2 linked regions of the Tribolium castaneum genome follow. The protein of the gene in region 1 purifies or fractionates together with the protein of each later gene. This does not show direct contact. Links are inferred from orthologs where the notes say so. Each region holds a gene or a part of one and is shown on either strand. Other genes may lie near its edges. The genes, in order: toll-interacting protein and CstF50.

Evidence for each region.
Region 2: the proteins of toll-interacting protein (region 1) and CstF50 purify together in Homo sapiens (co-immunoprecipitation; 3 studies listed by BioGRID and IntAct, with this or other methods). This does not show direct contact. The link is inferred for Tribolium castaneum from reciprocal best matches to the Homo sapiens genes TOLLIP and CSTF1.

The regions. Positions count from the first base shown.
Region 1 is NC_087402.1:9,089,173-9,092,876, forward strand, and holds toll-interacting protein, read right to left. Parts: upstream 1,972-3,704; 5' UTR 1,859-1,971; coding exon 1,814-1,858; intron 1,767-1,813; coding exon 1,468-1,766; intron 1,421-1,467; coding exon 964-1,420; 3' UTR 590-963; downstream 1-589. Other genes in the region: mediator of RNA polymerase II transcription subunit 25, read left to right, coding at 2,252-2,373, 3,681-3,704. UniProt on the Homo sapiens protein: Component of the signaling pathway of IL-1 and Toll-like receptors. Inhibits cell activation by microbial products. Recruits IRAK1 to the IL-1 receptor complex. Inhibits IRAK1 phosphorylation and kinase activity.
Region 2 is NC_087398.1:3,468,480-3,472,476, forward strand, and holds CstF50 (cleavage stimulation factor subunit 1), read left to right. Parts: upstream 1-1,499; 5' UTR 1,500-1,625; coding exon 1,626-1,711; intron 1,712-1,758; coding exon 1,759-2,335; intron 2,336-2,392; coding exon 2,393-3,043; 3' UTR 3,044-3,205; downstream 3,206-3,997. Other genes in the region: zinc finger protein 346, read right to left, coding at 160-302, 346-517, 561-632; TM9SF4 (transmembrane 9 superfamily member 4), read left to right, coding at 3,375-3,386, 3,434-3,822, 3,875-3,997. UniProt on the Homo sapiens protein: One of the multiple factors required for polyadenylation and 3'-end cleavage of mammalian pre-mRNAs. May be responsible for the interaction of CSTF with other factors to form a stable complex on the pre-mRNA.

The sequences.
Region 1 (3,704 bases):
GTTAGTTTTACGTTTTGTTGCAAATTTTGTTTCAACGATGGAAACAGACGAGGGAGATTATCAAATACTTCAATTATTTTCCGACCGTTGGCACGGCCTGTTTGGGGTTGGCGAAGCGATTCAAGAACACTTAAAAATCTCATTTGCGTTGTTTAATCTCGAGGCAAAGAAAGATTTAATCAAATTTAGCAACGCAGTTGCTGGACTTCTCAATACTTTGGTGCCAAAATACGGTATTGTTGTTGTAAACGTTTTTGCAAGCGAATTGAAAAATTCTTTGGCCTCGTTTTTGCGTTGTTACGGCGACTGGAATGAAGATTTTTACAAGTTTTGTTTGAATTTACTGGAAAATTGGAAAGACCTAACAATTTATTTATTGGTTATTAAACTTTTGCCCAGTAAAGAGCCGTCACAAGACCAAACCAAAGCCATGTTCAAGGAAATTGTTGATCGACTCAAGCAAGTTCCCGATGAATCTATTCAACTGTTAATGAATCTTTATATAACAAATATGGAGTAGAACTAAGAATTTATGCTTTTGATGGTATTTTGATAACATTGTTAGAGGATATTGAATAAAGTAACTAAATACAATTATTGTTGTTTATTCTGCGACAACAACGATTAAACATAACATGGTAGATAAAATATGAGTAACAATGAGTTGGAATTACGGAGGACTGAATCACTCAATTTTCTATACCAAATAAATAAAGTCGGTTTCGTATTAATTTAACTCAACCCCTTCCCAAAACTTTTAGCCCCCCGTAGTTGGAATTAACAATGGAAATGTTCAAGTAGAAATCGTTAAAAATTAAAATTGCACGATAAGCAAACCAAAAAGCATGGCTAAATTTTGGCACTTGATGAGTTAAAAAATGACAAAAAATGGAATTTTAAAAAGCTACGACTAGAATCCGCAACTAAAGTTTAATTATGGCGTAAATGAGATTACTGATTGATTTATTCAGCCATTTGAAGTAACGAATTAATGGTACCGTCTTTATTGCCCCTGTTGGCCTCAAACACGGTCTTAATCACCTCTTTATCGATATTTGGAAACATTTCCTCGATTTGTTTGAGCTCGGATTCACTCAAAGCAGGCGCGGCTTCAGTAGGAGGCGCTGTAAACACCTTCAAGGGTGTGACATTGCCCCCTGTTACGTTGGGCACCACCATAACAGGCGCCGGTGGTTGATATTTATATGAAGGGAACACTAGATAACTTAACACGAGATTAATCATTCCTTCGACACCTTCACCCTGTTTCCCATTTAATGGGTACCAATCCTCGTGGGTTTCCCCTGCAAGTACCTGTTGGGGGATCTGGAACTGCGTCCAGGCGATGAGTTCGTCCATCGTAAATGAGCGTTCGTCGAAAATTTCTAACGTTATGGTATTAATACCTTGAGGCAACAAACTGGAAATGGAAAAGTAGGGACTTGCTAGTTTTTGAGATGTGTTTACCAGTGAATAACTTTGTTCCATCGCGGGTTTTTGCCGCCGTTCGGGTCCGTATGCGTCTCGTAAACGCAATGCCCGACCCGAATCCGAGCGTAGGGGTCCATTCTGGTCATTCCGTAATTTTTTGCGAGCTTAGCTTGAGCAACAGTGATACTGAGCCTCCCAACGACATTTGTGTACTGTTGGCCACCGCTTAGCTGGTGGTGCAGTGCTATGGCTGTTTGGCGATCCGCTGCCTCTTGTTGTTGCTGAACCGAGGTGCTGATACGGAGAAAATCCTCCGGGAGGGGACCAAGGAGGACCTAAATTTCGGCATTAAAGCACGATTTTTTAAATCATTGGCACCTACCCGACTTCGCCTTTCTCTGACTTTGTCCGTTAGCGCCGATGCCATGGTGTTACACTATTTCAGATAAAGTAAAGACGCATTAATTCACTGTTTGCGGTGTTTGATGACAAATAATCAGCTGTTCACGGCAGACGTCAACACGCCTGACACTAGGGGAAAAAATATAATCCCAGTCTGGGATTAAATTTTATTAGTTTCTGGCGAAAATAGCCAGGTAGTTTTGGTTAAATGCAATCTACTAATAATTCTATTCAATTGATTAGTTTTCCAGACAACATTTTTGCATAATTTGGCTAAAATAAAATTTCATCTGAATGAAAGTGTTGCCATTAACTTGACGTAACATCCCTAAAAATTTGACAGGTATTTTCAATATGGCGGGGTTTGGTGCTTGTATTAAATTGTTTCATTAAAATTGTTTAATATTTTGACTAAACAATGGTTGTGTGTCCAGCTGATCATGGCTTACACGCCGATATCGTTTTTGTTATCGAGGGAACTGCAGTGAATGGTGCTTATATAAATGACCTAAAAACCAATTATATCATCCCTTCGTTAGAGTAAGTTTACTTTTTTTTGTAACTTCTGATGTATTACATGTTTTTCTCTACTACTGCTAAATTGTTTTTATTGCCTATTTGGCTTTACAGTCCTACTTGAAGTTATTTGATATTCTAGATATTCTTTACCTTTCCCAATTTTCTTTTGCACCCGTCACTTTTTTCATCCATTCTTTTCCCTTACCATTTTCGTTTAAAACTTTTTTTCGTATCAAACTTGCACACTCTTACCTCCACAAACTGTGACACTCTCCGCTTAATCTGCACACTGTTTCCCAATCTTCTCTCCAATATTCGTTCTCGCTTTCATTTCTACGTCTAAATCTGGCTATGATTTTCTTATCTTTACTTTACATCTTCCTTAAGTATGAGAGGAGTTCATCCGTCAATAAGCACGGCATATTTTACGTATTACACCTCGATTCTTTTTTCCATGTTATTCTTTCCTGCCTATCTATGTCCAAATCTCTCAATTTCAGTTCCTCTTCCATTGTTCGTCCCCTTTCTCTTATTCTTTTAATTTCTATACACACTTATTCCTTCTTCTCATAGGAGTCTTTTCGTCCTTTCCATCTAACATTTTCATTTGCTTTTTTGATTTCTGTTCAACACTGTTGCATTCACGCAGAATTCTTAATTTCTCTTCAAATCCCACCGCTCTCTTTCCTTAATCTACTCTTAATTTTTTTCTCTTCCTTTTTTTACTATGTACTCTGGCATTTGTTTATTTAGCCTGTTCGATCTCGTATTTCTTCCATCCCCACACTTCTGCTCAAAATAGTCCCTACATTACAGTGCTTTTCCCTAAGCTATTATTTTTCTCTTGAAATTTTCACTAAATTTACGTTCTCCCAAGCTTCAAACATTTCCTAAAACCCCATTTGTTTTTTTTTGCTGCTTCTTTTATATGGGCTGTGTCTGACATCTTGCTACTTATTACTCTCTTCTAACTGAAATAGTGAAGATTGACTAAAATAATACAGTACATATCTGATTCAGATACTTCAAGTCTTTCACTTGTTCTATATTTTTCCTTCCCATTGCCATTCATCCTCTTTTCCGAATTCCCATACTACTTTTCTTTCCAAATATCATCATTTTTGTTGTATCTACATCTACATTTCCAATCTTTTATTTCTCTGTTTTTTCTCGTGATGAATTCTGAACGGATAGTTGAACAAGGTTTGAGGTACTGAGAAATCAGTGTAACCTTGCTTTGTTATGATAAAAATTACACCCTGATACGAAAAAGTAGTAGTAGTAGTTTTTAATTGGAGAATATGTTCTTGTAACTGAGGGACTTTTAGATATTTTAGTCAGGGGAGTATTGA
Region 2 (3,997 bases), on another chromosome or scaffold:
TTAGTGTTTCTTTCTATAGATTCGGTTTTATAGAAATAAAAACACTTGATTTGTACATTACTGCTATTACTCACTGAAATATATATTTGGGTTTAAGAAAAGTCGTTTCAATCGTTCAACAATTTAATGGTAATAGAAATTTGGTAACAATGAACAAAATTACTGGCAAATCACTTTAAACAACAACAATAAGTTAATAAAAATACAAACGACACAGAAGAGTAAGATCCACAAGCCAGCGGTTCCTGTCGCGTCCGAAATGAAGTTTTCTTTTTTCATCAGCTTGTTCTTGTGTTTGATGCCTGTAACGTCTCTCATCATTTCGAAACTCAACATTTGACTTACTGTTCAAGTGGATGTTTAGCTGAATTTCGCTGTTTGCGACGACATCGCACAATTCACAAACGAATGTTTTTCCTTGTCTCTCTTCCTTCATTTTGTGCCTTCGCCCTTCCAAATGGCGCTGAAGGATCTTCACACTGGTGACTTTAACATTACATAATTCGCACGAAAGGGCCTAAAAAATCAATCACTAATTTGCTTCCCTCAAACTGGCTCACATTTTTATCGCTGTTTTCTTCATTTTTCTCGTTTAATTGCACTTCTTCGATCGAATTATGGAATTCGGACATTTTCGCACGTTCGCATGCCGCCGCAAACGCTATCACCTGACTTTTTCAAACTTTTTTTCCGACTTTATCTTCCTCGACCTCGTCAGTGTTTCAAAGCCGGTCAAGATGAACGCAGGTCTTTACGCCGACGGTGCTCAAGTCCAAAATTTCCATTTTGACGATCCTCTCAGTCGAGAATTGTTCGATTTTGAGATTCTCTGCGCCCACGGCAGTGTGTGCGTTCATAAACTTATTTTAATGACCCGAAGCCTCTATTTTCGCCAGTTGTTGGAGAACCAGGTAGCCATCAGGGAAATTACTTTAGAAGAGTTCAGCCAGGATGTGATGAGAAAAGTCGTACGCCTGATCTACGGAGATATTGTGAGGGTCCCTGAACTGCAAGTCGAAGAGTTTGTGAAGATTTTGCACTTTTTGAGAGTCGATTATTGGGCCAAGTTCAACAGATTGTTGATGGATGGGGGCGATTTAGGTGAGAAACGACAAAAAACGGAAATTTTATCTAAATTTAAAAGTTTCAGCTGCCATGGCTTCGACTCCGGACATCTCCACTGAAACGGAACCCTCAACTACGGACGACCTGGGCAGCAGGAGGTCCGGAGACGGCGATTCCATGGCTCTTACTGAATAACGATTTTTGTGCCTATCGAGTTTTTCAATAAAGGTTTCGAATTCAGCATTTCAGTCGTAGTTTTTTTACGTTCCTTCTTTCATTGAAAAAATTCAAGGCTAATTTTAAATTGCCTCCTTTTTGCCAACGCAAAAAATATCCCTAAAGAAATTTTCACAAATAATTTGTTGCCTTCCAAGCAACTAAATCAAGGTAAATAGTAATACGTTACATTCCAAATACTCGAATTTAATTTTTTTATCGAGTTTTGGTCAAAAAAAATAATTTTTTACTACAGCAAACTACCAATGTAACAAATCCGAAACCTCTAGATTTGTTTGGGTCGCATTTGTTGTTAAAGGGAATATTTAAAAAACCTCAATAAAATGACTAACTCAAGCATTAAGGACGAAGACGTGGACACGACGAACCTCCTCAAGAGTCGCGAGTTCCTCTACCGCCTCATTATTAGGTAAAACACCCAAAACCGGCAACCTAACCTAAATTTTTCCCTTCAAGCCAACTCTTCTATGACGGCCACCAAAGCATCGGCACTAATCTCACGGCCGCAGTCCAAGCGGACCCTCCGTGTGCCCCCAGTGACCGTCTTTTTCATATTGTCATGGCCGGGTTAGAACATGAGCCTGACCGTAAGGAGAGACCCCAAAACCCCGGCATAGGGAACAATAATATCGGTCCGGGGCTTGATCTCGAATTTGAGACTGAGTCAAATATCCCAGCGCCCGAACCCGCATTGTATGAAACTGCGTACGTGACGTCACATAAAGGGAATTGTCGTGCTGGGTGTTTTTCAAGTGATGGGCAATTAATTGCAACAGGGAGTGTGGACGCTAGTATTAAGATTCTGGATGTTGATAGAATGTTGGCCAAGTCGGCGCCGGACGAGATGGATCCCTCAAGGGGCGAACAACAGGGGCATCCTGTCATTAGGACGCTGTATGACCACATGGAGGAGGTCACTTGTCTGGAGTTCCACCCTAAGGAGCCCATTTTGGTGTCAGGGTCGAAGGACAACACGATTAAGATGTTTGATATCTCGAAAGCCAGCGTCAAGAAGGCGTTTAAAACAATATCTGTACGTTAAAAATTCAGGATCAAGCACCCTTTTTTAATAAAAATAAAATATTTCCAGGAGTCGGAACCAATCAGAGCCATGTCTTTCCACCCCGGGGGCGACCACATGATCGTCGCCACCAACCACCCCGTCGTCCGACTGTATGACGTCAATACCCTCCAATGCTACGTCTGTGCTTTCCCCTCCCACCAACACACCCAGAGCGTCACTTGTCTCAAATGGTCGCAAGACGCGCGAGTTTTTGCCACTTGTAGCAAAGACGGCAATATTAAACTTTGGGACGCGGTCTCGAACCGTTGCATAAACACGTTTCAGAAAGCACACGACGGACTTGAAGTCTGTTCGGTCGTATTTTCGAAAAACGGCAAATATTTGTTATCGTCGGGGAAAAACTCAATTTGCAAATTGTGGGAACTGACAACAAGCCGGTGTTTGATTGCTTATACGGGAGCTGGGACGACCGGAAAGCAGGAATATGAGGCTCAGGCTGTTTTTAATCACACTGAGGATTACGTCCTGTTTCCTGACGAGGCAACGACGTCTTTGTGTGCCTGGAATTCGAGGAATGCTTCAAGGAAGCAGTTGATGTCTTTGGGACACAATGGGGCGGTTAGACTCATAGCGCACAGCCCCACGCAGGCCGCCTTTCTGACCTGCTCGGACGATTTTCGGGCCAGGTTTTGGTACAGAAGAACCCCAACATTATAAAAAGTGTTACTTTCTTGTATAGGCAACCAATAATGCGCGGGCATTTTTTATTTTAATCTTATTTTTTAATTATAACTAATTAAGGCTGCGCGTAACATTACGTTCCATGTTGTGAGACAACAATTTGCGGCAATTTTTGTGTTAATAAAGAGATAAAAAGGATGATTTTGTTTGTGTGGGCAACCAGTTGTGCAGTTGACGTTTGTCACAACTTTTGGTGGTTGATTGGCGTTAATGGCACGGTTTTAAATTGATTAACAATGATTATTACACTATTTTAGCATTTCAGACGTTGAGAATTACCACATTTCACCGGTTACGTGGCGCCAAAATGAATTGCACGGTATTTGGGTGGTAGTTTAGTGACGTGACCTAACCTTACTTTTTTAGCAATTTTTTCTGTTTGTGATAAGTTTCTGTGTTTCGAGATGTTATTCGTTTTATGTTCCGGGGATGGCACCGGCTGATTTCAAAGCCGGTGATCCGATCGAAGTCAAGGCTGTGAAAATGACGAGTATCCACACGCAATTGCCGTACGAGTATTACTCTCTTCCGTTTTGTTTACCTAAAGGTGGTCTAAACGCGATACACTACAAATCGGAGAACCTCGGGGAAGTACTAAGGGGTGACAGGATTGTCAACACGCCGTACGACGTGAAAATGGCAGTGAATACGCCCTGTACGCTGTTGTGTAATACCCCCAAAAATCCGATTAATTGGAGCGTGGGGGAGTCCCAGATTGTGGTGGATCGGATCCAACACGAGTACTTCGTGCATTTGTACGTCCGCACTAATTTTTTCTATGACTGTGTTCCTAAAACGTGTTTCCAGACTAGTGGACAATCTCCCGGCTGCTACGCCTGTTTTGAACCCCGAGACGAACGAAATCCAGTACGAGCACGGCTACAGGCTGGGTAATTCGGTCGGTGATCGCAACTACATCAACAATCACCT